Rhinolophus ferrumequinum: one gene and its partners. The protein of the gene in region 4 purifies or fractionates together with the protein of the main gene of each other region. This does not show direct contact. Links are inferred from orthologs where the notes say so. Each region holds a gene or a part of one and is shown on either strand. Other genes may lie near its edges. The genes, in order: CD2BP2, PRPF6, TSSC4 and EAPP.

The links.
Region 1: the proteins of EAPP (region 4) and CD2BP2 purify together in Homo sapiens (affinity purification with mass spectrometry; 3 studies listed by BioGRID and IntAct, counting the BioPlex papers as one, with this or other methods). This does not show direct contact. The link is inferred for Rhinolophus ferrumequinum from reciprocal best matches to the Homo sapiens genes EAPP and CD2BP2.
Region 2: the proteins of EAPP (region 4) and PRPF6 purify together in Homo sapiens (affinity purification with mass spectrometry; 3 studies listed by BioGRID and IntAct, with this or other methods). This does not show direct contact. The link is inferred for Rhinolophus ferrumequinum from reciprocal best matches to the Homo sapiens genes EAPP and PRPF6.
Region 3: the proteins of EAPP (region 4) and TSSC4 purify together in Homo sapiens (affinity purification with mass spectrometry; 3 studies listed by BioGRID and IntAct, counting the BioPlex papers as one, with this or other methods). This does not show direct contact. The link is inferred for Rhinolophus ferrumequinum from reciprocal best matches to the Homo sapiens genes EAPP and TSSC4.

What each region holds. Positions count from the first base shown.
Region 1 is NW_022680357.1:763,895-771,253, forward strand, and holds the start of CD2BP2 (CD2 antigen cytoplasmic tail-binding protein 2), read left to right. Parts: upstream 1-4,347; 5' UTR 4,348-4,505; intron 4,506-4,665; exon of another isoform or gene 4,666-4,689; intron 4,690-4,974; 5' UTR 4,975-5,005; coding exon 5,006-5,083; intron 5,084-5,322; coding exon 5,323-5,458; intron 5,459-5,575; coding exon 5,576-5,733; intron 5,734-5,835; coding exon 5,836-6,268; intron 6,269-6,349; coding exon 6,350-6,456; intron 6,457-6,530; coding exon 6,531-6,641; 3' UTR 6,642-7,359. Other genes in the region: TBC1D10B (TBC1 domain family member 10B), read left to right, coding at 91-205, 330-395, 579-768, 1,013-1,167, 1,250-1,885. UniProt on the Homo sapiens protein: Involved in pre-mRNA splicing as component of the U5 snRNP complex that is involved in spliceosome assembly.
Region 2 is NC_046306.1:203,011-209,989, reverse strand, and holds the start of PRPF6 (pre-mRNA-processing factor 6), read left to right. Parts: upstream 1-3,970; 5' UTR 3,971-4,161; coding exon 4,162-4,232; intron 4,233-5,807; coding exon 5,808-5,976; intron 5,977-6,831; coding exon 6,832-6,950; intron 6,951-6,979. Other genes in the region: SAMD10 (sterile alpha motif domain-containing protein 10), read right to left, coding at 41-212, 290-471, 2,243-2,741. UniProt on the Homo sapiens protein: Involved in pre-mRNA splicing as component of the U4/U6-U5 tri-snRNP complex, one of the building blocks of the spliceosome.
Region 3 is NC_046294.1:1,585,712-1,593,715, forward strand, and holds TSSC4 (protein TSSC4), read left to right. Parts: upstream 1-4,997; 5' UTR 4,998-5,370; coding exon 5,371-5,560; exon of another isoform or gene 5,561-5,643; intron 5,644-5,658; exon of another isoform or gene 5,659-6,065; coding exon of another isoform or gene 6,066-6,072; intron 6,073-6,419; coding exon 6,420-6,535; intron 6,536-6,648; coding exon 6,649-7,647; 3' UTR 7,648-7,839; downstream 7,840-8,004. Other genes in the region: CD81 antigen, read left to right, coding at 203-307, 688-789, 1,295-1,381, 2,309-2,371. UniProt on the Homo sapiens protein: Protein associated with the U5 snRNP, during its maturation and its post-splicing recycling and which is required for spliceosomal tri-snRNP complex assembly in the nucleus.
Region 4 is NC_046289.1:82,863,594-82,870,978, forward strand, and holds the start of EAPP (E2F-associated phosphoprotein), read right to left. Parts: upstream 3,003-7,385; 5' UTR 2,876-3,002; coding exon 2,802-2,875; intron 1-2,801. UniProt on the Homo sapiens protein: May play an important role in the fine-tuning of both major E2F1 activities, the regulation of the cell-cycle and the induction of apoptosis. Promotes S-phase entry, and inhibits p14(ARP) expression.

The DNA of each region.
Region 1 (7,359 bases), on a different chromosome or scaffold from region 4:
TCTGCATGGAGCTGCGTGGGGGCAGGTTTAGTTTGGGGCACAGAGCCCCCAACTCGTGTGGTTGCCTCATGGTCTCCCCCATACTCACAGGCAACAGGACCTGTACCGAATCCTGAAGGCTTACACCATCTACCGGCCCGACGAGGGCTACTGCCAGGCCCAGGCCCCGGTGGCCGCCGTACTGCTCATGCACATGCCTGCTGAGGTCAGCACCCCGGGGCCCGGGCTGGGGGTTGCGGGGGGGACCGGGGGGACGCCTGGTGCTGGCGGGGGGCATCCTCTGCCCGATTCTCAGGCCCCATCATCCCTCCCACTCTCGCCCTTCTCAGCAAGCCTTTTGGTGCCTGGTGCAGATCTGCGACAAGTACCTCCCTGGTTACTACAGTGCAGGGCTGGTGAGTGTGGGGCGGCTTGGCGCTGGGGCTGTGACTGTCCCCAAGCACAGGGAGGCCCTTGTCCCCCCCCCGCCCCTGTCCCTCTGCACAGGGCTCTCCCACTGAGGTGAGGATCCCCTGCTCGATCGGTCGGACCCCACGGGGGCCACGGCGGGCCTCTCCTCACGGCTCGTCCACCTCCAGGAGGCCATCCAGCTGGATGGTGAAATTTTCTTCGCGCTGCTACGCCGGGCGTCCCCGCTGGCTCACCGGCACCTGCGGCGACAGCGTATCGACCCCGTGCTCTACATGACCGAGTGGTTCATGTGCATCTTCGCCCGCACGCTGCCCTGGGCCTCTGTGCTGCGCGTCTGGGACATGTTCTTCTGCGAAGGTGCGAGCCTGTCAGGCCAGGGGGGCCGGGCTCCCACTGACCCAAGGTGCTTGGTGGGCCTGGTCTCGGCTCTGCGGCCAACCCGGAGCCTGTTCTCCCTGCCAGGAACCTGAAGCCCCTGGCGGCTCATTTCCCTGCTGGGCCTTAGTTCCCTCACCCCTAAGGTTGGCGGGGTGGGGCGGAGTGCCTCCTAACCGAAGGCTGGGACCCAGGCCCCATCTCCCCACTGTCTCCTCGGCCACAGGCGTCAAGATCATCTTCCGGGTGGCCCTGGTGCTGCTGCGGCACACGCTGGGCTCCCTGGAGAAGCTGCGCGCCTGCCAGGGCATGTACGAGACCATGGAGCAGCTGCGCAGCCTGCCCCCGCAGTGCATGCAGGAGGACTTCCTGGTGCATGAGGTAAGCCCTGGCCGTGACTCAGCCTCGCCTGCTGCAGGCCAGCCGCACCGTCATTGCATCTGGCACCCACTTCTCCATCCAGGTGACGAACCTGCCAGTGACAGAAGCACTGATTGAGAGAGAGAACACCGCCCAGCTCAAGAAGTGGCTGGAAACCCGGGGGCAGCTGCAGTACCGGCCCTCCCGGCGACTGCACGGTTCCCGGGCCATCCATGAGGAGCGCCGGCGACAGCAGCCCCCCCTGGGCCCCTCCTCCAGCCTCCTCAGCCTCCCTGGCCTCAAGAGCCGAGGCTCCCGGGCAGCTGGGGGGGTGCCCTCTCCGCCCCCTCCCGCCCGCAGGGCCAGTGTTGGGCCTGCCCCGGGGCCTGTGATCACCGCTGAGGGACTGCATCCATCTCTTCCTTCTCCGACTGGCAACAGCACGCCACTGGGTCCCAGCAAGGAGACCCGGAGGCAGGAGAAGGAGCGGCAGAAACAGGAGAAGGAGCGTGAGAAGGAGCGGCAGAAACAAGAGAAGGAGCGGGAAAAGCAGGAAAAGGAGCGGCAGAAGTGGGAAAAAGAGCAGGAGAAGGAGCGGCAGAAGCAGGAGAAGGAGAAGCAGAAGAAGGGCCAAGGCAGGAAGCTTTCCCTGCGTCGAAAGGCCGACGGGCCCCCAGACCCACAGGATGGTGGCGACCGGGCCTCCTCATCTGAGGCCCGCCAGGACACTTACTTCTGACCTCTGCCCCGGGGCTGGACTGCATGGCCCCCCTTTTTCCCTCAGCCAAGAGCAGGCCCCTGGGCAGACTGTCCTTTTCTGGGGAAGGTGGCTTGTTCCCCGTCCCCTTGCCAGCTGCTGATCCTACAGCCAGGACAGTCAGAACATGGGGCATGGGACAGCTCCGTTCCCTGGGGCAGCCGTGACACATCTGGGGCCCCGCACCTCCAGTTAGGCCCAGCCGGGGTCTTTGTCACTCCTGCCCCGGTTCCCTGTGGGGTCCCTTCCCAGGTACTGTCCTGATTGGCCTTCTGTCACCACAGGGGTGACTCCTGGCGATGGGAGCCAGCAGTTTTCAGATTCTTACACTCCACTTGCTCCCCTCATTCATGAAGCGGAGCCGAGTTCCTCTTTCCCCTTCTTCAGTCCTGCTTGTCTCCACTTCCTGGCCGGGGCCCAAGGCCCTCCTTGTTCAACGTGGACATCTCGGGGTTGTAATGACGAACAGAGGACCCGGTCAGCCCAGGGTGGGGTGTCCGCTCTGTCTTCCGTCCTTCGGTTCTTCCGCAATGTTCTTGTACTCCCGATTTATTTAATGGGACATGCACTGGAATAGGAAATGTCCCGCAGTCCTGGCTCTTCTTCCTGTTCCTCCTCCTTCCTCTGTATTCTCAGGCTTCCCCTGCTTTGTCTCACCAGGGCCCACACCTTTCACCTTGTTCCCTTCCAACCTTCCAGCCCCTCTCTGGGAAAGGGGTCTTCCCTTAAGCTCCCGGGGGTGGAACCCAATGTTTACATTCTCTTCTGTCTCTGCCCCCACCCGACGCAGCGCTTTGAGAAACCAGAAAAGATCCTGCTGTTGTACCTGGGCCTGTCTCCTGCCTTGTTATTTGACGAAGGCGTTAGAGTAAGAACTAGGGATACAGGAAGCGGCTTTTGAGCCAGAATCGATTGAAGCAGTCAGCTGGTCGTGGCCGTTGGTACCCCTCGGCCTTTGGTCCACTTCACCCATCAACAGTTGTTGAGCTCCTGCTCCAGCTTTTCTGGGATCTGCTGCCTCCATTGTCAGTGGCCTGAAGCCCTCTACGTATCACCTGCAGCACCCAGATGTCCTTCCCAAACTGCTCATGCAACTCCTGGGAGCTGAGGGGGGGGACAGAAGGGGGCTAGAAAGCCACAGCCCTCGGGGTGAGCTGGGCAGTCTTGGCCCACTGCCTGGCACAGCTCCCAGTACTTGGCCTCCAGGGAGCAGCCAGCTGCCTCCAGCCAGTGTCCACGGCCAGGCTCCCAGCTCCTCGTTGTCTGCTGCCAGCTTGTAGGCCTGCCCCCCTTCTGCACCGTCTACCCCAGGGGTCAGGTTGGTAAAGGCCTAGGGGTCTGTAGCTCCACCGGGCAGTTCAACGGAATGAGGCCCAGGGGTGTACTTCGTGCTCCTGGTACAAGTGTCCCCAGAGGATGTACCAGTGGCACTGGGAGCTGGTATTTCAGACCCTTTAGGGAGATGCCCTCTCAGTCTGGAGTGTGTGTTCTGGACCCACCCATGGAAGAAACTGCGGTTTCATGGGAGTCCAATCTGGGAGGAAACACCGGGGGCAGGAGACCGGAGGGCTGGTTCGTCGTTTCCTGGGGACCGATGGTTCCAGTAGGCTCTTCCTGGGCACAGCCTTAGCCTAGTGGGATTCAGACTCCCAGTGTCCTCAAGAGCTAGAGGGCGTGTCCCCACAGCACTGGGACCCACTGCTCCCACATCCCCACCACAGTTCTGCCTGTCGGCAGGGGCCTAAGGCAGGGGCTTTGAGAGGCGCTGCTGCACTTTTCCAGGCCTACTTGACATCCGGGCACGCGGGGCTTCTGACCCATGTACTGGGCATAGGTGCCACTGCCACCTCTCCGGTTAGGGCTCTTCCCACCTCAGAAACGAGGGGATGGTGGGAGGGGGGCGGGGAGTGATGGTAAATGGCCCCCCTTGGGTCCTGAAGGGAGTTGGGTTCGGAAAGCGCCCCACGGGCGGTCGGGGGCCTCCAGGCGGGCCATCAGGAGAGCCGGGCTTCCCCTCAGGGAGAAGCGCAAAGCTGCACCTTGAACCAGGAGAACGCAGACAGCTGGACGCTGAGGGGGCAGGCCAGGTTTCCACTGAGATGGTGAGGGGCGCAGAGCCTTGGCCAGCCCTGGGGAAGATGGCGCAACCCTGGGAAGGGAAATCAGAGCGGGAACCCACTGGCCCTGCTCGGATCTTGCCGTCCGCCACACCCCGGGCGCCCGATTAGATAGAATTCGCTCCACTTTCTCCCCAGCGCTTCTAGGGCTGTGAGCCACCGCTCCACTTCCGGCCACCCTCGCGTCCCATCCTGAGCCATCCCTCCACTTCCGGCCACCCCTCGCGTCCCATCAGGGTGTAGGCATTCTCCAGTGCCCTCTGCTCGTCGTTCCGTCCCACGCAGCTCGAGTCACTCCTCGGGGGGAGTGTGCCTTCCCCGGCTCCTCGGACTTCCGCCCACCCGCTCTCGCCAGACTGAAGCCACTTCCGGCCCTCCTGGCGCCTTCCGCAGTTCTCTTCCGGGTGATGGCGGCCCGGTGCCCCGGATGCAGCCCTAGCGGAAGCTTCGCTCCTTGCCTTCCCCCACCTTCCCGGGGTCCCTAGGTGAGCGCGCGCCGGTGGCACTGCTGGGGTCCCTGGGGCTCTGGCGCCTCTCATTTGTACACAGAGCCCGGCACAGTCGGGGGTCACCCCGCGGAATTGGGAGTTCGTCGCGGGGAGAAGCGGGGCGGCCAGGACGCCAGATCCCGGGTCCGCCCGAGCCTCACGAGCTCCGAGGGAACTGGCGGTGGGGGAGCAGCGGGTGTTAAGCCGGGGAGCGGCGTCGCGCCCGGGATGCCAGGGCTGGGGATGGGGGTGGTCACGTGGGGGAACTGCTCGGGGCTCCCGCCTCTCCGGCTCGGCTGCAGCCAGTCTGTCGGATGCCAGACCAGGTTCCGGGGCCTCTTGCCTGTCAACGCCCCTTTCGGCCCCTATTTCTGTACCAGGGGAAACAAACGTTTGCTGCGCTGGGGCCCTCTCGCGGCGAACCTCCTCCTCGCCCGGTTCCCTTACTCTGCGTCCTTTCTCTCAGCTCAGCTCGAGGCAGGTCCCTCGGTCCAGCCATGCCAAAGAGGAAGGTGACCTTTCAAGGCGTGGGAAATGAGGATGAGGAGGATGACATCAGTGTACCCAAGAAGAAGGTGAGGGGGCCAGACTCCTGCGTCGTAGGGAGGAGTGAGGGGGAGAGAAAAGAAACGAGGAGCCCGAAGAGGGAAAAAGCGTGGGATACAAAAAGGGCAGAAAGGAAAGGACTAGCTTCGCCGTCTTCTCTGAGAAATGGGTTTGGGAGATTGTCAGTTTGAGTCCAGATCCTAGAGCATTTTGAGGACTAAGCCGGTAGGTAACCTGCCTCTCTCGACCGGCTGGCTCCTGCTCACAGCTCGTGGACCCTGTGGCCGGGGCAGGAGGGCCTGGGAGCCGCTTCAAAGGCAAACACTCTTTGGACAGCGATGAGGAGGACGACGAGGAGGAGGGGTCCAGCAAATATGACATCCTGGCCTCGGAGGACGTGGAAGGTGAGGTCTACGGAAGCATTGATTCTGCTGCGGGAACGAACCGGCTTCTGGGACGTGGGCCAGGGCTCCTTCTGTCACCGTCGCATGCTTAGTGTGAAATGCCTGTGTTGGGTGCAGGTCAGGAAGCGGCCACACTCCCCAGTGAGGGAGGTGTGCGGATCACACCTTTCAATCTCCAGGAAGAGATGGAAGAAGGCCATTTTGATGCGGACGGCAACTACTTCTTGAACCGAGAAGCTCAGATCCGAGACAGCTGGCTGGACAACATTGACTGGGTATGGCTCGGGGGCTGGCGGGGCCGGGCCGGAGGCGGCAGGTGCTTGGGCTCTGCGGGCAGTTTGTCAGAAATAATCTCCGTGTTCTCTCTCACGGTACAGGTGAAGATCAAGGAGCGGCCACCTGACCAGCATCCACCATCGGACTCCGACGAGGAGGATAACTTGGGCCAGACACCCATGAGCGCCCAGGCACTCCTGGAGGGCCTCCTGGAGCTGCTGCTGCCCAGAGAGACAGTGGCTGGGGCCCTGAGGCGTCTGGGGGCCAGAGGAGGAGCCAAAGGGGGCAGTAAGGGGCCCGGACGGCCCTCTTCCCCCCAGCGCTTGGACAGGCTCTCGGGGTTGGCTGACCAGATGGTGGCTCGGGGCAACCTTGGTGTCTATCAGGAGACAAGGGAACGGCTGGCCATGCGTCTGAAGGGGTTGGGGTGCCAGACCCAAGGACCCCCTGACTCCATCTCCCCACCTTCTCTGGACATGTTTGCTGAAGAAGTGGCAGAGGAGGAGCTGGTGACCCTGTCCCCTGCCCAGAGAGGTGAGCTTGAAGGGCAGAGGCGGGGTCTTGTGGGCAGGGGCATGGCGCTGGAGGCCCACACGGCTTTGCCTGTGATTGTAGAAGCAGAGTCGCTCGGAGACGGGCTGGAGGACGTGATGTGGGAGTATAAGTGGGAGAACACGGGGGATGCTGAGCTGTACGGGCCCTTCACCAGCACCCAGATGCAGGTAAACCCCTTTTCGCCTCCTTTCTGCCCTCGCACCCATCAGTCCTCCACCAGCTCTGCCCTCTCTCCCCGCAGACCTGGGTGAACGAAGGTTACTTCCCGGATGGTGTGTATTGCCGGAAGCTGGACCCCCCTGGTGGACAGTTCTACAACTCCAAGCGTATTGACTTTGATCTGTATACCTGAGCCTGCCGAGGGCCCAGTTTGGGGGCCCCTTCTTTCATGGACTCTGGAGGAGGCCCCAGCTGCCTCAGGCAATGAGGATATCGGGGGCCTCTTTTCAGTCAGTTTTCTTTCCCAATAAAAGCCTGTAGTTGTGTATTAAGGCCTCGGCTGTGCTGATGGCCGGAAGCCAGGGATCCCCTACAGCCCCTTTGGACTTGTTTCAGCCCTTGACTGTTTCCTCATGAAGTTCTTCTGTGGGAGTTTCTGGTCCCTTGAACCATCTCACCGTTGACCAATCCTAGAGGCAGAGCCAGGATGTCAGGTGTCCTGTGGCCTCCCCACCTGGCCTCTGCTTACCACCTAAAAATCCCTTCACGCACATACTATTCTCCGGTACCCTCTGGGGGTTCCTGTTGCTGTTCTGAGGTCTTTGGCTTTTAGGATCTCAGTTAGCATGTCCTGGCAGCCACTACAGAACGGAACTCCAGAAGGGGCGTTTTAGGCCTCGAAGGGCTGGGACAGCAGTTGGGCGTGAGCAGGAAGCCTAGTACTCACTGGCTCCCACTGTCTCAGGCTCCTTAAGTGACATGCAGGCTCAGTGTTAGCACAAGGTCACCTGATCCTGCCACCCATCGACTAGGCACAGAGTAGGGCAGCATGTCATTGGAGGGGCACACAGTGAGTCAGAGGCCAGTAGGCTCGCTTCCCAGACGTTTTTTGGTACTAGGTCTTTTCTGTC
Region 2 (6,979 bases), on a different chromosome or scaffold from region 4:
CCCCGTGCCCCCAGCCCCATAGCCCCCAGCCCCACAGCACCGGTGATGGCGTGCTGGGAGAAGGCCTCCACGTAGACGAGGTAGTTGTGGGGACAGTGCTTCTTGAGCCACTTGCAGACGTCCTGCTGACTCCACAGGACCACAGGCCTCGTCAGGCCACCCAGTGAGGGACTCGTGTGGTACAGGCCACAGTGGTCAGAGTACAGCCAGCCCTGTGAGGGAGAGGGGTAGCAGATAGAATGAGGTGGTGGGGATGGCCGGGGCTGAGATGGGTACGGTGGCTGGGTACCTGGGGGGTCTCTGTGCCAGGCTGCTGCAGGAGCTTGACTGGCCGGCCACCTGCTGCCCTCTGACTGCGTGAGTCATGCCATGTGAGGCTGGTGCCTGGTGTCCTAGGCAGGTGGCAGGGGATGCTCTCGGTGGACACCGTGTGCTCCAGGAGGGTCCGGCAGAAGCTGAAGTGGGCAGTGGCTGCAGAGGAGGGGTGCCTGGTCAGAGTGGTCAGGGGCCCAGCCAGAGGCTCCCCTCGTCACTCAGCCCATCTCCCCTCCACTGAAGAAGGAGCCACTTTCCCAAAGGCAGAAGGAAGCATCGAGAGCTGTCTTGAGGGCCCCACCCAGCCCAAAGCTGAAGAACTGGAACACCTGTACCCTCCAAGTCCACAGTACATGTTCTGGGGAGCCAAATGGATTCTTAGAGAGAGCGGACGCCCACCGGGAAGCCTAAGACTTACAGCCAGGGGTAGGGCTCTTCTGGGACAGCCCTCACCTCATGCTTGCCTTGGGCTGGCACATGCCACACCTAACGAGGGTGCACACACAGGCCCTTCCTACGAGGAAACATTGGACCGGTGTCCTGGGAGGCCCGTGAGGACCGGTGTCCTGGGAGGTATGGTGAGGAGACCCCCTGGGTGCACTGCGGGCCCATCGCCACGGATTGTGCCATCTCTGCAGACATCCCTGCCACGTGAGGTTTGGCCCTGCCCAGCTGTGCTCACTGGTTGTGACTCATGGACAAGAAGCCTAAACTCTGGGCAAGCCAGGACCTGGGATTCCTGCTCCCCCACCTCCCACAGGGTCGCCAACCCAGGGTGACTGCTGTGCATGGTGGGTCTGCAGCCGCCATGGGCCGCTCAGCACAGGCCCATAGGCTGCAGCCATGTGCTCAGGGACCCCTAGTGACACCTGGAGCTCTCTTCCCGTACCAACTTCATTACACTCGTCAACACTTTGGTTTTATCATCATTTCTGGGCTGGCTGCTGACCTGAGTGGGGGAGGAGCAGTCGCCTGTTCACTGCCCCTCCCAAGACCTTGCACAGGTCCTGGTGCAAAGGAGGTGCCCAGAAGTGTTGTGATGAATGAACGGATGGACGAAGGTTCTGTGTGATGTGCATCTTTACAGCATCCAGGTCCTCACTCAGCAGGGAGACCTTCCTTCCCACGGACACAGCCCCCCACCCCTCGGGCAGGATTTGGCCCTGTGCCTAGGTCTCAGTAATGGGGGAAACCCACATCTTGCTCCCCTCCTTCCACCCCATTCCTGCAACTTTCCACTACCAAATAACCACAGGTGCCTGTAAATTTGAGGTCTAGGGTCAGACTGAGAGTGTGGACGATGCCTCGAGGTGGCTTCTAGTACCGTGGGAAAAGAATTAAAGCCGAGACCTTTCAGGGGACAGGCCCTGGGTCGCATCGCCTTGCCTCGCCTCGCCAGGGCCCGGCCTGGGTAAACCAGTCGGACACCTCCGTGGGCGTCTCACCTGTCCCGGGTCAACGGGACCCGCCCATTTCCTGCCCGCGCTGGGGGGAGGGATCTCTGTGGGTACATCCGTCCTTCCCTCCCTCCCTCCCAGCCCCAACGTCATAATTCCCGTAGAAAATGGGGTGGGGGCGCACGATCCCGGCTGTGGCCCCAGCCCCTTCTTCGCTCCAACGCAAAGGCTGGGAGGGTTTTCTCCGCGCGCGGAAAAAAAAGGTGACCGCACGGTAGTGCGGGCCTGGGGACAGAAGCCCCGGCCGGTGACCTCCCCCAAGCCAAGGGTGCGCTGATCCCCAAGGCCTAAGGCCGCCCCACCTCGCCCCCAGCGCAGCACAAAGACACAAGAGACCCCAGATCCGTCAGGACGCGCCCCCCTCTCTGTCCACTGCCGCCGCTCAAGTCCGCCAGGTCCCGCCCCCGTCCCTCTCGGTTCCCAAGCCCCCAGCCCACGATATCCCTGCGCCCGGATTCAGCCCGGCTCACCGTCCACATCCCGGCGCTCCCCGAAGCCGGCGCGCACAGCCCCGGCGCGGCCTCGCGGGGGGCTCAGCTTGGTCCTCAGCTCCGTGAACATGGGGCCCGCGGGGCCCGGGCCCGTGCACACGCCCCTCGCCGGGCGCAGGGCGGCCCGAGTGGCCGGCGGGGAACGCGCGCCACCGCCCCGCCCCAGCCGGCCCCGCGCCGGAGCCGGTCCCCGCGCCCGGCGAGTCTGCGCGGCGAGGCACCTGCCGCTGAGCCCTGAGAGCTGGGCGCGCTCCGGGAGCTCCGAGGTGTGTCGGCGGCGCGCGGGTCTGCGTATGCAGAGTGTCTGCCAGGGCAAGGGGCGTCCCTGCGCACCTGGGCATGGCTCCAAGGACGAGTGACTGGGCACCTTTAGGGGTCCAGGCGTCTGCAGGGCCCTCTGAAGCAGGGAAGTAAGGACACATTCCGCGTGTGTGTGTGTGTGTGTGTGTGTGTGTGTGGTGGAGGGCCTCCTACCCATCCTGGGACCTTCTGCCCCCTGGGGCCCAGGTCAAGGATTAGACCCATCCCTTCAAACCACTTCCCTCCATTTTTCTACCTTAGTTTTCTCCTTTAATTCACATTCTCCAGACCTCTCCAGAGGTCTCTCCCTCAAATGGGCACTTGCTTCCCCAGAGAAGTCAGTTTGACTCTCTCTTATCTCATCACACTGAACTCTAGGAGGACAGCCAGCGTCTCTCCCTTTCCTTCTGTAGCCCCAGAATCGGATTCAGTGCCCAAGATGTGGCTCTGAAAGGGGCTTGGCTGGGGACAGGGAGGAGCAACCCCAAGGAGGCTGCAGCAGGCAGGAGGGATGTGTTTGCTGCAGGACGCCAGTGAGAAGAGCTAGGGTGGGCTGGGGCTGTCTGGGCCAGCACAAGGCCAGACTTGGGACCTGAGTTTTGCCTGCTCTGCCAGGAGCCTGAGTGCTCTCCCAGGTATGTGTGGGGGCCAGAGGATGTCCCATAGCGGAGTGTGCTAAGGTGCACGTGGCCACCCAGAAATGTATGCAGAGTACAGTCAGGCATGCCCATGACACCCACAAGTAGAGATTGGCATGGAATTCACCCAAATTCTGTGATCGCCCACGCCCATATACTGACTCTCCCGACATATACCCGCCGCATTTATTTATTTCCATTAATTAGCTCAACAGGTGGGCTCTTGCCCTCACTTGAACCTTCAGGGTATTATGGGACTGTGAGTGGGGACCTGTGCTGGAATTGGAGCTCAGGAATCCGAGTCCTGAGAGCCAAGGCAGCAAGCAGTCTGTACACAGGAGCACACACAAACAGGTGTGCTCACAGTCGTGACACATACACTCCGCACAAGCTCTACACAACTGGATAGCTGTGCAGCACCCCTCAGATGTGTTATGGCCTGCCCCGGGGCCAGGGCGACTCTGAAGGGCAGGGTGGGTAGCTAGGGCTCAATCCTAGGGCTCCCTGGCAGCTGGGCTGGCTCAGAGAGGGAGGGGACCCACGGGTCCTACTGGTACAGGCAGGTCTCCTTGGAATGCATCGAGAACACGCAGTAAGCAAGGGTGCCCAGGCTCAGTTTCCAGGTCCCTGGAGGTTTGTCCAGAAAGGCGTCGCCCCTGGACCTCCGGCGGGGCTGTCCGCCGGCCCTCCTCGCCACAAGGGGGCGCTCTCGCTCACGCACCTGCCGCATCTCCGTCCCTCAGCCGCGGCCGGAAGTCGCCCAGCCGCGTTTCCGGAACTTCCGCCCGTGGAATCCGAGGCGGCCGGAGCTTCGTGCCGACCTGGCGCTCTGCTTCCGGGGCGCGGGTGACGCGGGGCGCGCGACCTCTTCCTGCAGTGAAACCTCGGACGTCTGTGGTGTTTTGCCTCCCGCCGCGGTCTCCGTCCTTTCCCTTCCCGGCCCTTGTCGTCACCTGCGCCATGAACAAGAAGAAGAAGCCGTTCCTGGGCATGCCCGCGCCGCTCGGCTACGTGCCGGGGCTGGGCCGAGGGTGAGCCCCGGGGCGCGCGGCGCGGCCCTGGGCCCCGGGGCCCGGGTCCCGGCGGGCGCGCCCTTGGGGAAGGGGCACAGGGCCGGTCTGTCCTAACCCCCCACGGCGACGGGGAGACGAGAAGGGACAAAGGCGGGTTGCTTGCTTTAAGCTTTGTAGGAAGAATCGTTCTTGGGGTTAGGACAGACCCGAGCGAGTCCCGCCAGTTACCTAGGAGCGGGGTGACTGCGTTTAGCTACGCCTTGGCTCTGAGCCCCTTTTGGTGTCTAAGATGGGTGACAACACCGTTTCGCAGATCTGCCGTGAGCAGCAGCTCAGTTCCTGACGTGTCTACCGTGGGAACGCGGCGGCTCCTCTCCGCGGGCCCGGCAGACGCGCACCCACCCCCAGCCCCGCCTTACGCAGTTCCCGGGAACCCCGGCGCGATTCCTCTGTGGCCGCTCATCGCGCCACATTCTTTCCCTGTAGAGTCGTTGGTCACATACTGTTTGTTCAAACTCTCAGCTCCCGGGAGCAGGGATGGCATCTTTGAGGCTTGTGACAGAGTCCTCCCTGCCTGTCACACAGACTGCGACCGTAAATTGTTGAGTAAATGAGCAGTCATTTTCATCCTGTTTGGTTAGTCATCTGATTAGGAAGACTACTGGGTTTCTCTTGTCGAGGATGGTACCGTATGTTAGAATCTGTGGAGGACACAGAAGTGTCAGATAGTGGCACCATCTTCAGGGGACCTGCACTCTGCTAGGCGAGGTGAGGTATATGCATAAGTAAGTACATAAAGAGGAACAGATTTAGGATTGGGGTTCCAGTGATCAGGGAATGCTCGATGCAGTGCTAGCATTTAAGCTAAGTTTAGAAGGCAAGATGCATTTAGGGATGTAGACATGTAGCAGGTTATAGGAGAAACCGATGTTTTGTGTGTCGCGCAGTTAGGAAAAAAGATGAGGCATGGAGGGAGATGAGGGGATAGCAGGGAGTCCATGGGGCTGGGATGTGCAGGGAGCAGAGCTCCTGTGGGCATTGCAGAGGTGGTCCCTCAGGCCTGCGCTCCAGCAGAGGGAGACTCGGTACAGGGAGGCCAGCTTGGTTCCGAGGCCTGGGACCAGGGATTTGGAGGAAGACAGTACAGCTCCGTGGCAGGTGGGAGGGAGAGGGAGGCAAGCCAGGTGTCTGCCTAGGTGCCCTGGGCAGCACTGCCGTCGTCTGTGGAGACAGCCCCAAGCAGCTGCAGGGCAGGCACAGAAGAGGAGCTCTGACTGGGTCAGGTTGGGTGTGAGGGCCTGCTTGGATGGGGAAGCTGTTGGAAATGGGAAACTGGGACTTTGGGGGAGGGCTGATGCCCTGACAAGTCTCAAGGAGAATATGGGGACAAGATGGCCTTAGTGATCCCTTGGGGGGGGCAGGAGGTTTCCTGTTTGAAGAGAGCAGACTGGGAGTGTTTGAGAGCATGGCCACGCGTATCTCACTCCACCAGGACCTTTGGAGATTTCCCAGAGGTGTTAAGTGACAGCAGTGGAGGGAAGAACACAGGAACAGGGTCACCCAGATCAAGGAGTATCTTGGGGTCTCTTGCAGCGCCACTGGCTTCACCACCCGGTCAGACATTGGGCCCGCCCGGGATGCCAATGATCCCGTGGATGACCGCCATGCACCTCCAGGCAAGAGGACCGTAGGGGACCAGATGAAGAAAAGCCAGGCTGCAGACGACGACGACGAGGATCTGAACGACACCAACTATGACGAGGTGACCTGTGCTGGGCTCCCCGGCCAGCCTGCAGAAGGCCGGCCAGCTTCTTAACACGGTGGCATCTGTGATGAGTGGCTTGGCCTGGCTGGCCCATTTCCTGTTTCAGCTCAGGAAATGTCTCCCTGAGACACCTTCAGGGTGTCTCCCTAGCAGAGTGTGAGAGGGGAGTAGGAAGAGTACAAAGAAACGTACACTTTTGTTTTCTCTTCAGAAGACGTTTACTGAGAACCACTGCATTGGCATTTTATCCTGGCCAATGAAAATTTAAATGGAATTGGTGATAATGTTTGCTTTCCTTTGCTTTAGTGCTTACTCTCTTAGTTAATTGGTGTTTGGTCAATTGAAGTTTTCTTCAGATATGTTCTAACAGATGGCATTTTTCTCAGAGGAAAAGATTTGAATACTTTACTTCTGAAATAATTTTAAATTTACAGGGAATTTGCAAAAATAACATGGAGAATTTCTGCATACCCTTCACAAGTTTCTCCCCATCTTACATGGCCTTAATACAATTACTGAAACAGGAAATTAACACAGCACTCTTAATTAGTCTAGTGTATTGTTTGAACCCCACTGGTTTTTCCATCTGTAGCCTCCGTCAGGCCCCAGGCCTACCACCGGCTTCCATTGTGCATGTAGTTGTGTTTCCTTGGGCTCCTCCAGTCGGGATAGTTCCTCCTGACACTTTTGAAGAGTACTGGTCAGTTATTTTGTTACTCCTCGGTTTGGGTTTATCTGATTGAAAAATATTGTTTAGCAAGCATTTTGCAACTGGTAGTGTTCTCTGTTTCTCCTGGTGGGGATTAAGTTGGAAGAGAAGCTGATCCTCCAAATATGTTGTTTGGTTCTTAGTTTAACGGCTATGCTGGGAGCCTCTTCTCAAGTGGGCCCTACGAAAAAGACGACGAGGAAGCAGATGCTATTTATGCAGCTCTGGACAAAAGGATGGATGAAAGAAGAAAAGAAAGAAGGTAAAACTAGTTACTGCCCTTCACTATCT
Region 3 (8,004 bases), on a different chromosome or scaffold from region 4:
GGGAAGGAGGCGCCCCCGCTGCTCAGTGTGGGGGAGGGGTCAGACTACGGGGTGCTCTTTGGCGCTCCTCCTGGGGCCAGCCTGGTAGGAAGGCCACAGAGGGCTTTCTGGAGGAGATGGCCTGGGGGCTGAGCTGGGGGTGGGGGTTGGGCCTGTCCCCCGGGGGCTGGCCCTCACTGAGTGTGACCACATCCGTCCCCAGATTGCCAAGGACGTGAAGCAGTTCTATGACCAGGCCTTGCAGCAGGCCGTGCTGGACGACGACGCTAACAATGCCAAGACTGTGGTGAAGACCTTCCACGAGACGGTGCGCTGGCCGGGGAGGCGGGGGCTGGGGGCCGCCTGAGGTGGGTGGCAGCCGGAGCCTGGCTGGTGCTGTCTGACCTCAGCCCAGACCTGGGGTCTGGCAGCTCTGCTCTCAAGGGCCGAGGGGCTTCCTGTGCCAGCCCTGGGGGGGCTTCTCTGGGACCTTTGGGTCCTTGTGGGAACCAGATAGACCAGGCCGGTGGGAGTGCAGCCTGGCTGAGCTGGAAGGAGGGAAGGAGGGGCCTTGGGCAACGTCCTTCCCGGAGGGGACATCCCAGCCCCCACCCGCACGCCAGAATGGGGAAGCCGTCGGGATGCATGTCCCTGGCCGTCTCCCCACACATGCGTGGGGCTGATCGTGGGCCCCCTGGGTCTCTGCAGCTCAGCTGCTGCGGCTCCAACACCCTGATCTCACTGGCCACGTCTCTGTACAAGAACAATCTGTGTCCCTCGGACAGCAACTTCATGAGCAGCGTGTTTAAGGTGTGTGGCAGTGGGTGCGGCGGGGCGCCCCAGGCGGGCTGGCCGGCTGTTCCCCACTTCTCTGCGTCCCTGCCCCCTGCGGGTCCCAGGTGTTGGGTGGGCCCCCAGGGGCACGTCAGGGACATGGCCACCATGGGTGGTGCTGTGGTCTGAGTCGGGTGCTCTGCCTGGGGGCTGTGTTCTACTGATGGCCCCCAGGGAAAGTGCGGGTTCCGATGGGGGAGTCTCAGTGTCCGGCAGCCAGTGGGCGTGGAGGGTGACCCCTTGGTCAGCATCCATCCTTGTGATGCTGAGTGGTCTCTGAGTAGAAGAGGGTGCACACAGCACATTTGTTTTGAACTGGATGTAAGATAAAACCCAGCAGAGACCCGGCCCTGTTCACGCCTCTTCTGAGGGCAGCCAGGGCTGTGCCCCTCCGTGCTCTTTCTGCAATGACCCCAGGCTGCTGCATTGCGGGGGGCCCGAGGACCAGCACCCCTGACCGCCCGCTGGCCATCCCCCACAGAAAGACTGCCACCAGAAGATTGATGAGCTCTTCTCGGGGAAGCTGTACCTCATCGGCATTGCGGCCATTGTGGTCGCTGTGATCATGGTGAGCAGGGGCAGCAGGCCGTCTACTCAGGCCCCGTGGGTCTCGGTGCTGGCTGGGGACTGACGGGGTCTCCGGGTGCTGACGGGGTCTCCGGGTGCTGACGGGGTCTCCGGGTGCTGACCGGGTCTCCGGGTGCTGACGGGGTCTCCGGGTGCTGACGGGGTCTCCGGGTGCTGACCGGGTCTCCGGGTGCTGACCGGGTCTCCGGGTGCTGACCGGGTCTCCGGGTGCTGACCGGGTCTCCGGGTGCTGACCGGGTCTCCGGGTGCTGACGGGGTCTCCGGGTGCTGACGGGGTCTCCGGGTGCTGACGGGGTCTCCGGGTGCTGACGGGGTCTCCGGGTGCTGACGGGGTCTCCGGGTACTGACCGGGTCTCCGGGTGCTGACCGGGTCTCCGGGTACTGACCGGGTCTCCGGGTGCTGACGGGGTCTCCGGGTGCTGACGGGGTCTCCGGGTACTGACCGGGTCTCCGGGTGCTGACCGGGTCTCCGGGTGCTGACGGGGTCTCCGGGTGCTGACGGGGTCTCCGGGTACTGACCGGGTCTCCGGGTGCTGACGGGGTCTCCGGGTGCTGATGGGGTCTCCGGGTACTGACCGGGTCTCCGGGTGCTGACGGGGTCTCCGGGTGCTGACGGGGTCTCCGGGTACTGACCGGGTCTCCGGGTGCTGACGGGGTCTCCGGGTACTGACCGGGTCTCCGGGTACTGACCGGGTCTCCGGGTACTGACCGGGTCTCCGGGTGCTGACCGGGTCTCCGGGTACTGACCGGGTCTCCGGGTGCTGACGGGGTCTCCGGGTGCTGACCGGGTCTCTGGGTGATGGCGGGTACTGTCGGGGTCTCCGGGTGCTGTCGGGGTCTCCGGGTGCTGACGGGGTCTCCGGGTGCTGACGGGGTCTCCGGGTGCTGACCGGGCCGCCTCCCACAGATCTTCGAGATGATCCTCAGCATGGTGCTCTGCTGTGGCATCCGGAACAGCCCTGTGTACTGAGGCTCCACCGCTCTGCCCGGCGGGACCCCTGCGGTGCCCCCAGAGCGACCTGGACACTTTGAGGAGGGTATATAACCGCCTGTGTATATAACTTTTCTGGTATTACTCTACTACACTTATTAGTCCTTTTACTTTTGAGGTTTTGTTTTTGTCCTGAAGTTCCCTGTTACCTTTTGGGGCTGACGTCACCTGTACGTGGCGTGTGAGTGGGCCTTGGGACTGCAGGACAATGGCCCCCTCTGCTTCTGAGGCCTCTTGGGGGACTCCGCCTATTCAACCAGGCCTCTCCAGGGGGCCGAGGGGGCCCCCCCACTCCAGCTGTGCCCTCCCTCCCACCCACCTGTCCCCATGGGTTGCACGGCTCACGCCTTTTTTAATCCGTGTTCCTCTCCTGCCACCTGTCTCTAGAGCTGGGTCTATGAGTGGCCTTATACTTTCAATGCATCTGTCCTTTCTAACACGTCACCTACGATTGTAATTACATCTTGAAATTCATTCAATAAAGAAGGAAAAACCAGGCATGCTAACAAACTGTCCAGCCCCTTCCTGTGCCCACAGCATCTGTCCCGGGGTGGCCCAAGGGACAGAAGACCCTCACACAGGTGGGGCTCAGCTCTGTGGACTTTGCCGGGCCCAGGTATGCTGCCCACCTTGTTGGGGTGTCCGGGGAGGACTCCATCCTCCAGGTGGCAAGTGCCCCTTTGTTGGGCCCTGTGCTGCCTACAGAAGCCTCCACCCAACCGCACTCCCAGCTCTCCTCCTCATGCATTGCTGCCAGGAGCGGGCAGGGCGGGTGGGGCGGCCAGGGACTGTGGTGTAGGGCATGCTTGAGGTGGGGGATCCCCTTCTGAGGGACAGCTCTGTAGAGGACAGATGCACTGCTCCCTCCCGAGTGTCTGAGGGTCCTCTCCTTGCCTGTGGAGAAGCTGGGTGGCTGTGGCCAAGTGGCATCCTGCAGGGGCTGGAGGGGAAGGTCTCAGCCACACCCAGGAGGGGCCACCTGGCCCACCACAGCTGTTCTTCCCATAGGGCATGGGCCTCACACAGGCACTGACCTGTGTGCACTTTATTGTTTTTTTTTATTGGGGAAGGGGAACAGGGCTTTATTGGGGAACAGTGTGCACTTCCAGGATGTTTTCCCAAGTTGTTGTCCTTTCAGTCTTAGTTGTGGAGGGAGCAGCTCAGCTCCAGGTCCAGTTGCCGTTTTCTAGTTGCAGGGGGCGCAGCCCAATATCCCTTGCGGGACTCGAGGAGTCACACTGGCAACCTTGTGGTTGAGAGCCCACTGGCCCATGTGGGAATCGAACCGGCAGCCTTCGGAGTTAGGAGCACGGAGCTCCAACCGCCGGAGCCACCGGGCGGCCCTGACCTGTGTGTACTTGAAATTGACCCCTTGAGGCCACGAGGCCTGGCTGGGGATTCGGGAAGGGCTTCCTGTGGCCTTCTTGGGGGCTGATTTTAGAAACGAACCCCAGCCCTGCTGCACTGAGGGTTGGGGTGTCATGGGGCCTCCGTGTGCCCCTCCACATCTTGTGCTAGGGCAGCTTGGTTGGGACAGTAAGACGGCCCACGGCGGCCCCTCCTCTCTCCTGGCCCCTATGCTCGAGGCCGCGGGGACATCCTAGCAGAGGGCTGGGTGTCACCTGCAAACTGGTTCCACTACAAAACCAGTGCTCGGGGTGGACCGGACCAGCACTTCCCCACGAGGCCACACGGGGACGTGGGGGCGCTTAGGAATGAGGTGTTGCGAGCTTGCACGGAAAAACAGGCTGTTTCTTCCTTGGTTTCCCGGGCCAGGCGGCAGGGCCTGCACACCGGATGCGCGGAGCACGCCAGGACACCAGGCCTGGGACAGGGACCGGGTGCAGCAGGCCAGCCGCTAGGGGCTGAGGCGCCGCGACCTTGTGGGGCACGAAGCGGCCCCAGAGGGAAAGGGAGCAGGGACACTTGGCCTGACCAGGGGAGACCGGGACCTGTCCTCCACTTCCCGGCAGCACTGACCAGTCTGGCCATCGGCCGGCGGGGCCAGGTCGCCACTCCCAAGTGGCCTGCCCCCCCCACCCCCACCCCTGCCCCCGCCCCGGCTGCCCTCCAGCCCTAACACACTCGGAGGTTGAGATGAGCGCTCAACCTGCGGTGCGCACGTCTCTCAGAACCAGAGGGGCGCGGCCGGCCGCTTCCGGCCAGGGCCGGAAGTGTCCGCGAACGGCGCCGCGTACGCCGCGCACTACGACGCACTTCCGGTTTGAGGGACCTCTCATCATGGCTTCCGGCTGCGCGCGATGGGGCCACGGGAACACGGCGCTGACCGTTAGCACTCGTGTATTCTGGGAGTCGCGGTTCGGCCTCTCCCTCCGCCCCCTTCCCCCGCCCGCCTCCTCTCAGTCGGTTCCGGGCTCTTCGCGAAAGAGCGCCGCCATTTCCGGGGAGTGGAGGCTGCGAAGAGAGCGCATGCGCAAGGACTACAAGTCCCGACAGGCCTCGGGAGTAGCGGCCCAGTACGTTTTAGGAGATGTAGTTTTTCAGGGGCGGAAGCCGCGGCACTCTGCCGGCGGGGTACTCAATTTCCCATAGGGTCGAGCGCGGCGCAAGATGGAGGCGATCGGGCCACAGTGAGCCGGTAGGTTGGTGGTGAGGGGATGGCGGCACAGGCCAGTCGGGGCCTACTGCCCCGAGCCCAGAGACCCCCGTGCCTCGAGGCCTGGCCCTTGGGACCCCGAGACTCGTGCGGTCCCCGGACCGTGGCCCAGCCAGGCCGGCTTGGTCCCCGAGACCCAGGCCCGACAGGGAGAGCCTGGTGCGCAGGCGGCGAGGCTCTGGGCACGCACAGTGCAGAAAGTGAAGACTGCTTCCCAGGAGGGAGAGAGAACCCACTTCCTGGGACTTGGCCTGCCTAGACCCCGGCCCTCTGACACCCCTGCCCGAGACCCAGCGCCACCCCCGCCTCGGCTCTGCGGCCACTGGGCTCCCGAAGTGCTCGGAGAACTCCGAAGAAACGGATGCCCGGATGCCTTCTCTGGGGGGCTCGGTCTCCCCGTCCCCCGCCCCCCGAGTGTCCCACTGATTCTGCTACTTCTCGCAGTCGCGGGAGCGTCCCCAGCGGTGCAGCGGACGGGAGTGCGAATTTGGGAAACAGGAGTCGGCTTGGAACTGCGGGGCCGGCTCTGTCGCCCCTTCGCGCTCCTGGAGGTAGTCCTTCGTTCAGGAATGGAGGGCTCGCCTTTGTTTGCCCCGGGACAGGGCCGTCAGAGCCCCTCCTGGCCTGTTCCTCGGTGGGTGCGTCAGCAGTGAGTCCCCCCCACCCTGCGGCGAGGGAGGCGCGGTGCGGGGGGAGGAGGCGGTGAATGGACGGCTGAGAGCAGGGCAGAAGCGTGAGGCTGGGCTGACCCCTGGGCCTGGACACACAGGCCGCGAGCTGCCTGGCCACACGTGGCCACCACACGGGTGTCAGCAGCGCTTCTCTGCTCAGCTGGGGAGGAAGCAGGGGGTGCGGGGAGGGCTGCGGGAGAAGAGACATGCCCCCCGAAGGTGCTCCTAGAGCCGCGGCGGCTTGCCTCTGCCCAGCGTGGCTGTGCGCGGTGATCACAGACGCTCCACTTGCCTGAGAGCTGGACCCTCAGATGCCGAGGACTTGGCTGCACAGCCCCCTGGGACTCCAGGGTATCGCCCAGCAAACGGGAACAAAGCTCCCCACATGCCAGGCAGGTGCCACGCGCCACGTAAGCAGCGGATAAGTGGTTGCACTCGGTTGTGAGTGGGAGTGTTGAGCGGGGGCCGCCCTTGGCCCTGGGTTCAAGGGCCACTGGCTGCTCACGACCGGAATCTTCCACCAGCAGTTCTCTTGGTCGCTCGAGTTGGGCTCCACTTGAGAGGATTGTTGGGACTGAAGGAGGTGACATGTCAAAAACACCTGCTCGCTGGCCTGGCCTGGCCCAGCCCGTGTCGGCGGCTCTGTAGACCCAGGCCCACTTCCGGGTCATGGCACCCCCCCACCCCGTCATGTTCGCCTTCTGGGCTGATGGTTGGCTCTCCCTTCTCTCTCTCTCAGCTACGCTTGAACAGCTGAACAGAGCTGTGCCTGGAGACCTTCTAGGCGGAGGCCACACCCACGCCTTTGCCACCTCTGCCAGCGGCTCCGTTCACCATCCCCTGCAGACAAGGAAGGTGAGGAGGATCGTTCGGGGGGAGAGGGACCCGGGGCAGTGGGTCTGCAGGCGAAACGTGTTTTAAACCCATGGTGTCCTCAGAAACCAACTTCATGGGCTGTTTTGGTCTAGGTGTGGTGTGGCCCAGGACACATGGCTGAGGCGGGGACTGGCGAGCCCTCCCCTGGCTTGGAGGTCGAGCAGGGCCCCGAGTATGATGATGTCCTGCCTTCTGATACCATCTCCCTCAGCGACTCGGACTCTGACCTCAGCCTGCCTGGCAGTGCTGAGCTGGAAGCTCTGTCCCCAGAGGGGCTGCCAGGGGAGGCCCAGGGGGACTCAGGCCCCGACGAGCCCCCCTCGCCCCCCAGGGCCCTCCCTACAGCCGCAGTGCAGCCGTTCCACCTGAGAGGCATGAGCTCCACCTTCTCGCAGCGCAGCCACAGTATCTTTGACTGCCTGGAGGGGGCAGCCGGGCGGGCGCCACCCTCTGTGGTCCACACTGGCCTAGGGGACCGTGGGGGCTTCAAGCGGCCCCTGGCGCCCTCACGCCAACCTCCAGCAGAAGGCCCAGGCAGGGCCAGTCAGAGCCCTGTCCCCCGGAGGGCGCCCCCCGTCCCCGACTATGTGACCCACCCTGAGCGCTGGACTAAGTACAGCCTGGAAGACGTGGCCGAGGCCAGTGAGCACAGCAATCAGGCTGCCGCCCTGGCCTTCCTGGGCTCCCGGAGCCTGGCCGCCCCCGGCCACTATGTGCCCTCCTTCAACCAGGACCCCTCCAGCTGTGGGGAGGGCAGAGTCGTCTTCACCAAACCGGCCCGCGCCGGCGAGGCCAGACCAGAGAGGAAGCGGGGTCTGAGAAAGGCAGGGGCGCCTGGTGGGGCTGAGGGGCCTGTGGAGCTGGCCCACCTGGCCAGGCCCGGGAGCCCAGAGGCCGAGGAGTGGAGCAGCCCGCGTGGGGGCGTGCAGGAGGTGGGCACGCCCGAGGGGGACACCCACACCGAGTCCGCAGCGGGCCCCCCAGGGGTGGACATTGTTGGCTTCCACGGCAGCAGGAAGCGCAGTAGAGACCACTTTCGGAACAAGAGCAGCAGCTCTGAGGTCCCTGGTGCTGAGGGGGCTGAGGGCTGACCCGAGAGCCTGCCTTGGACTTGAGGAGCCCCAACCCCTTGGGAAGGAAGCCGGTGGGCTGCCTGTCGGTGGCGCCAGCGGCCCTGGCTGGGGCTCAGGCAGTGGACTCGAGCAGAGACCTTGCTTGCCACTGATGGGCCCACTGGGTGCCCGTGGGGAACAGTAAAGCTTTTGGGTATTCCTCAGGCTCTGTGTCTCTGTGCAGACCCCACCTCCCCAGGACCCGTTGGCTGCAACCTTCTGTGCTCTCCAGCCTGCCCGGTCACCCGTTCCCACACTTGGGCCTACCCGACAATGTCGGTCGGGGGCTCGGAGAGGTTTTAAAGCTCCGCCTGCTCCCCTTGGTGGCAGAGCTTC
Region 4 (7,385 bases):
TGGTCAACACTGGAAATAACCAGATGTCCTTCACTGAATGAATGGTTAAACGTGGACTACTACTCAGCAATAAAAAAGGAATGAACTATTGATACCTACAACGAAATCTCCAGAGAATTATGCTGAGTGCAAAAAGCCAATCCTAAAAGGTTACAGACTACATGATTCCACTTATATGTTTTTTGAAAATGACACAATTATAGAAATGGAGAACAGATTAGTGGTTACCAGAGGATAAGCAGGGCATGGGGGCAGGAAGTGGGGAATAGAAGGGATCCTTGTGGTGATGAAAATGTTCTGTATTGACTGTATTAGTGTCACTATCCCAGATGTGATATCGTACTAGTTTTGCAATATGTTAACACTGGGGGAAACCAAATAAAGGTGACACAGAATCTCTGAATTATTTCTTACAAGTGCATGTGAATCTACCTCAAAATAAAAAGTTTAATTTAAAAAAAAATTGAATGACAAGGCAAGAGAGTTTCGGAGATGCCTTTTTGCAAATTTTCTTCAAGCCTAGTGATTATTTCAAGAGAAGTCTCAGCATTTAGCACTGCTGGGTGAGGCAATACATCATGGTGCTGCAAATTCTTGTTGATATATCAAGAATGCAAGGTTCTCACCACTTTTTACCGAGGCCATTTTTCAGAATTGTGTTTGCTGTTAAAAAAAAAGAAGAAAAAAAAACAACAACAACAACAAAAAAAAAAACCTAGAGGGATGAAGTAATGTCCCTTTCCAGGACAAAGAGCAGGCTTATTTACTGCCTGCTATAAAAGAGGTGGATTCTTCAAGCTCAAGTGGTCCTCAGCCACAGTGCCAACTCACTGAATGTGCATCCATCTGGGTCTCTCACCATGTAACCCCTGTAGAAATTGGGACATAAGAGTAACCAGTAAGAACATAATGCTCATGTTGCCTGCTATGCTGTGAGTTGTCTGACCCAGGAATCTCAGATCTTCTGCCAGCTTCCATGAAACAGTAACAGGTATAAAATATTAGCTTACACCTGGGGTAAAACCAAATCCTGACAGACTCCTCTCAAGCACCTCTCTAAAACCAATCTCCCTTTTTAAAACAAGTATTGGATTCAGAGCCTTGAGCAGGCAATACTGTCTAATAATATTGTTTTGTTTTCATAGTATTTTTAATTACTTTACCAGAGGCAATTGTCACAAGATTATAAAGCTTCTTTTAAGAAATTAAACTACAAAAATGTAAACAACTTAAAGAAAAATATTAAATAAATAGTAACAGTTTTATATGGAGATGGCAATGGCAGAATAACTCAAATACAGGAAACACTGCTATATTCCAATCAAACTGAATTACTAATTGAGGCCTACATATACCTCCTTTCACAGACCTGACCCATTAACTGAAACTTTTTTCACAGGCCACCCTCATTCCCCACAACAGAAATCTTCACAGCAGTCTGAACTCCTATGCCTGCAACCCCTCCCCAGTATGTGAAGAAACATTGTGACTGAAGGTAGGACAGTTTTACAAAAAGTTCAGACCAAAAAGCTCAGTTGGACAGATGTTTTCAAGTTTATAAGTAGGATCTGCTGACAGCTTTAAAAAATGGCTAAATTTGCCTGGAAATCTCTTGCCAACGTATCTGCAAGTTTCCCCCAGGTAGGGTTAATCCCTTCTGGAAATTCCCACGGAATTTCATCTGTGCCTATCTCAGGTAATCGTTTTCCAAAATGCTCTTCCAAAATACATACTTATTTCCAAAATACATACCTTCTGAGATATAGAGAGGGTGCCAAAAAAAAAAATGTATACACATTTTAAGAAAGGAAAACTGTATTAAAATTATAATACTCAATATATACCGATAACCAAAGATGAATACAAGTCACGTTTGACTTCTGCAAGTACAAGAAATGGTTACCATCAGCGTCCAGACACTTCTGATTACGGCGAACTACTGCTTGAGCAACGCTGACCAAAGTGTCCACTTCTATACATTATTTGGGCACCCCCGGTATATATTATTTCCCCTACTATACTGTAAGATTTGTAGAAGGCAAAAATCTTATGATCGACCTGTGTAGCCCAGAGCAAGCATATACTCTCTCTGAAAATAAGACCTAGCGGGACAATCAGCTCTAATGCATCTTTTGGAGCAAAAATTAATATAAGACCGGGTCTTATACTGTACTGTACAGTATAAGACCCGGTCTTATATTATATTGTATAATACATTGTATAATATAAGACCCGGTCTTATATTATATTGTGTAATATAAGACCGGGCCTTATATTAATTTTTGCTCCAAAAGACGCATTAGAGCTGATTGTCCGGCTAGGTCTTATTTTCGGGGAAACATGGTAATAGATGCTCAAAAAAGTCTGTTAATCATTCCCTTATTTTCTGTTTATGGCATATTAGTCTTCAAGATGGTCACTTCCCATTAAGTCCCACGAGCCTTACACATACTTACGATACAGGTATTGTATTTCCTATTTTATAGATGAGAAACAAAGTAAGTGACTTGCCTTCGGTCACACTGCTAAGTAGGCTGAAGAGGCCAGGGCTCGACCTCAAAGCTTTTGAAGACTTACGCGCGATTCCAGAATAGCCCCCGCTTCCCGGCGCTGGTATTGGCCCTGCCTCCCCCGTGGCTGCAAGACCTCACCAGAACTCCCCTCGGCGTCCCACTGGCGACAGCGGGGCGCGACTGGTGCCGGAACCGCTGGGCCGAGGGTCCGCACAGGCCCAGCAGGCGCAGCGCAGAGAGGACGCGAAGGCCCGAAGAATAGAGAGCCTCGGAGGGCCAGGGACCCACCTGCTTAAAGCCGGCTCCTCGTCGCTAGGCTCTTCAACAGCGTAGGGGTCATAGTCATCTCCGAGCCGGTTCATGGTGGCCTCCACGCTCGGAAACCGTCTACAGGCGTTGGCCTAGAACCTGTTTACCCCGCAGGTCCCTCCCCTAAAGCGTTCCGGACTCCACTTCCGGCCGCACAGCCTCACCCTCCCTGCGCGCCTGCGCATATCGTCCCAGTGAGGTGGGGAGAGGAAGAGGGGAAAGGGGGAGGAGATGGATCTCAGTGTCCGGCCACCTCTCTCCTCGGCTTCCGCTTACGTGAAAACAGCTAGTTTATTACTAGAAATAGTAATAGGCACCCTCATAAGTGACGGTCTCTGAGGTGAACACTCCACGTACAGTGTCTCGTGTGGTGACGTGAAGAAGCAGAAATCTAGATGCTGAGGGACGTGCAGCCTGTAGGTCCTCAGACACTAGGACCCGATGTCCTTCCAACCTCCTCGCGGCGAGTCTTTCTACCTTCCCACCGCGCGCGGCTGCCTCGTATTCACACTATTCATTCCGCAGTCTGACTGCGGCTCTGACCGGCTTCCCAACAGTTGCTAGACTGTCACCAGTTACTTTACTTCCCAGTTGCCTTTTCTTGGCCTCTTCTCAGTCCCAACCTTTGCGCAGCCCTTATCCGATTCCACTCAATACTTGAGATGAGGTAGATGACGACCTCTTCTTGATTGTAACACCATTTCTCCCGTTTCTGTACCAGCCTATACTCAAGTTCCTGTCTCCTTCCAGGACAACTCACCCCTCTTCATGATTACATTCAGGTGACTACCGCGTCTTATTTTGGTCCTTGCCCTCTCCTCCATACTAATACGTCAGGTTTCCAATTGCCTGGCTGGATATCTCCGCCTGCGGCACCACTGGCAATCCAAAGTCAATATAGCTCAAACCCAACTCAGTATCTTACACCCCATTCCTATACCTCAGCTGCTTTTGACTCTTGATTTGTCACTTCCTTCATCCTTATAACTGGTACAGGCTGAAAGTCTTGGACTCTTGTTTGACTCCTTTCTCTGTCCCTCCATGAGCCCTCAATTCCCAAGTCCTGTTGATCTCTTAGCAACATCTCGCTCATCCACATTTTATCTCCCTACCCCTCACCTTGAGACTATTGATTGATCTGTGCTCCTAATTGACAGCCTTGTTTTGCTACTCTACTCGGCAGAGTGACCTTCCAGCACAGCTTTGCTCTGGATGATTGATTTCCTTCCCCAAAAAGTCCTACTATTTCCCCTTTACCTGCTGATCTGTTCACCTTATCCTGCAGTATTCTTGGCCCTCAACAATATGGTTCAATCCATCATGCCAAACTGATTTCCCTACACCTACCAGCACAATTTGCTGATTCCAGAATATGTGTTATCCCATCTACTACTGGCCTTTCCTTATGCTATTCCCTGGAGCACCCTCTCCTTTTAATTCCACCATCCAAACCCTACCTGTCGTTCAAGATACATCTGCAAGTAATGGATGGGTCAGTAACTAGACAGAATGACCCTTTAGGATACCTTTCAGCCATGAGATGCTATAGTTATGGGAACTCACATTGTACCTTTTCTATGATGCCTTTTCAGATTTTCCCTCTATATGGGATCTTGCTCTGCTTTGAAAACTCTTGTAGGATAATGTACCTCTCACATGCCATGTATTTCTCTGGTTTTCAACTATTGTTCCCCCCAACTCTTTTAAGAGGTAAAATACTCTCCCATGTGTCACATGATGTGAAGGAAATCCCTCTTGGGGAACCTGTTTTTTCCTTTTCTGGGAATTGTGGCCCTCCTCAGGGATATGCCCTTACATCCATGTTCATTCTGTTCCACAAAAGTTGGACCATTATTCACTTACTTACTTTGATAAACTTAAAAATGAAGAGTTAGAAATTTTTTTTAAGGTGTGGCTGTGGTCTTAGGATTTGTTACCGGAATAGTAAATTCAGGGGCTCAGGCTGACATTTTGGGGTGGCTGTTTGGGGGTTGTATGTGCTGATGGTGAGCAAGCAAATAAAAGCAGGAGTATGTAGCAAGCAGAGGTAAGCAGAGAGGCTCTCCCCAACAGCTTGTCTAAAACTAAAGGTCTCAATCCAACCCCTTCTCTCCATTCCATCTTCTCTATCCCTTAATCCATTTCCCCCGCTTCTACTTCACATAAGTTATTTGGTTGCTTACTTCCTGTCTACCTGTTCCATTTCTCTATTGCTGCACAAAAACACAACCTCCAAAATTTAAGAGCTTTGAAACAAAAACAATCATCTATTTTGATCACAAATCTGCAATTTTGGCAGGGATTACTCTGCTCCCTAATGTCTGGGGTCCCAGATTGGGACTGAAACCACTGGGGACTAGCTGAGCATCTCTCTTTCCATGTATCTTTCTCCACAAAGCCTTCAGCTTCCTCACAACATGACAGCTCCAGAGTAGTCAGTCTTCTTACAAGGTTCCCAGAGACCCAGATGGAAGCTGGAAGGCTTCTTCTGACCAAGCCCCAGAATTCCCTGAGCATCACATCTACCACATTCTATTGGTCAAGCCAGTCACTAAGTCCAGATTTCAGGTAAGAGATAGACTCCACCACTCATGGGCAGAATAGCAGAGATATAAAGGATATAGTTTACTGTCTAAAAAATGGTTTGGCTTACTGTCTAAAAACAAAATTAGAATTGAACAACTCAACACCAAAAAAAAAAAAACTTAATTAAAAAACAGGCAGAGGACATGGAGACATTTCTCTAAAGAGAACATATAGATGGCCAACACACATATGAAAAAAACGTTCAATTTTGTACACCTGAAACTAATAAAATTAAAAAACCTTGTAGCAATTTAAAAAAAAAAAGCTCAACATCACCAATCATCAGAGAAATGCAAATAAAAACCACAATGAGATACAACCTCACTCCAGTGAGAATGGCTAACATCAATAAATCAACAAATAAGTGTTGGCGAGGATATGGAGAAAAAGGAACCCTCATGCACTGCTGGAGGGATTGCAAATTGGTGCAACCACAATGGAAAACAGTATGGAGGTACCTCAAAAAATTGAAAATGGAACTACCTTATGACCCAGCAATTCCACTCCTGGGTATCTATTCAAATAAATCCAAAACACTAATTCGAAAAAAATATACGCACCCCTATGTTTATTGCAGTGCTATTCACAATAGCCAAGATATGAAAACAACCAAAATGCCCATTGATAAGACTGGATAAAGAAACTGTGGCACATTTATACAATGGAGTATTGCTCGCCCATAAAAAGGAATGGAATCTTACCATTTGCAACAACATGGATAGACCTAGAGAATATTATGCTAAGCAAAATAAGTCAGACTGAGAAAGACAAATACTATCTGACATCACTTATATGTGGAATTTAAAGAACAGAATAAACGAACAAACAAAACAGAAATAGACTCAGAGATATAGGGGGAAAAAAACTGATGGCTACTAGATGGGAGGGGGAGTACATGGGGGAGAAGGTGAAAGGATTAGAAAGTACAAATTAGTAGTCACGGTATAATCACGGGGATATGAAATACAGTGTGGAGAATATAATCAATAATGTAAAGATTATGTGGGGTGCCAGATGGGCACTGGACTTATCAGGGAGATCACTTCATGGACTGTGTAGATGCTAGATGCCTGACCACTGTGCTATACACCTGAAGCTGAAATTGAATAATATTGAATGTCCACTATAATTAAATATACATTATATATATATAGTCATGGGATGTGGAGTACAGCGTAGGTCATATAGCTATATACGATGTCAGAGAGTATTCGATTGTCGGGGGTTATCATTTTGTGAGGGGTGTAAATGTCTATTATATTGCTTTGTACACCTGAAACTAATAAAAAAGAAACTGAGTTTACAGTTTGAAAGGAATCACTAAATAGCAGATAGAAATATTGAAAAAAAATTAAGGCCTTGCATCGTATGTTAAATGCACAGTGCTGCTCTAAAATAGGAATTGGCAAAGGATGGTCTGTGCGCCAAATCAGGCCCACCACCTGCTTTTGCAAATAAAGCTTTATTGCAGTACACACAAAAACATTTTTTTAAATTATAATTGAACAGATTAAATGGACTATTATGAAATAGACTACAAAACATAATAGTGTATTTACAATTTTCTTCAGGTGTTTTAAAATATATACTTTCTATTGCTATTATATACTTCTCGATCACTGCAAAATTTGCAGTGGATGAAGTTCATACTTTGCCCTGGTTTTATGTCTTCCAGGTTGAAATCTTGACTTTTTCCCCCTTTAGGTTTGACTAGGTTTAGTTGTTGTATATGTTGAACCCGTTCACCTCTTTGAAGTAGTTTAAGACAGACTTACTTAAAAAGATACCAGGAAAAAACGATCCCTATTAAGTAGGTAGGGGAAATCTTAACTTCAAAGTTTAATGGAGGTTAGGAAAGATCCTCATAATAATGGTGTCTAGTGAGGGAGGATGAGTTCCTACAGGATGGCGGAAACAAAAAAAGCTGAAACATCCTTTTTACTAAAAGGAAAGTGAGACCAACCCCAGGGCGCAACG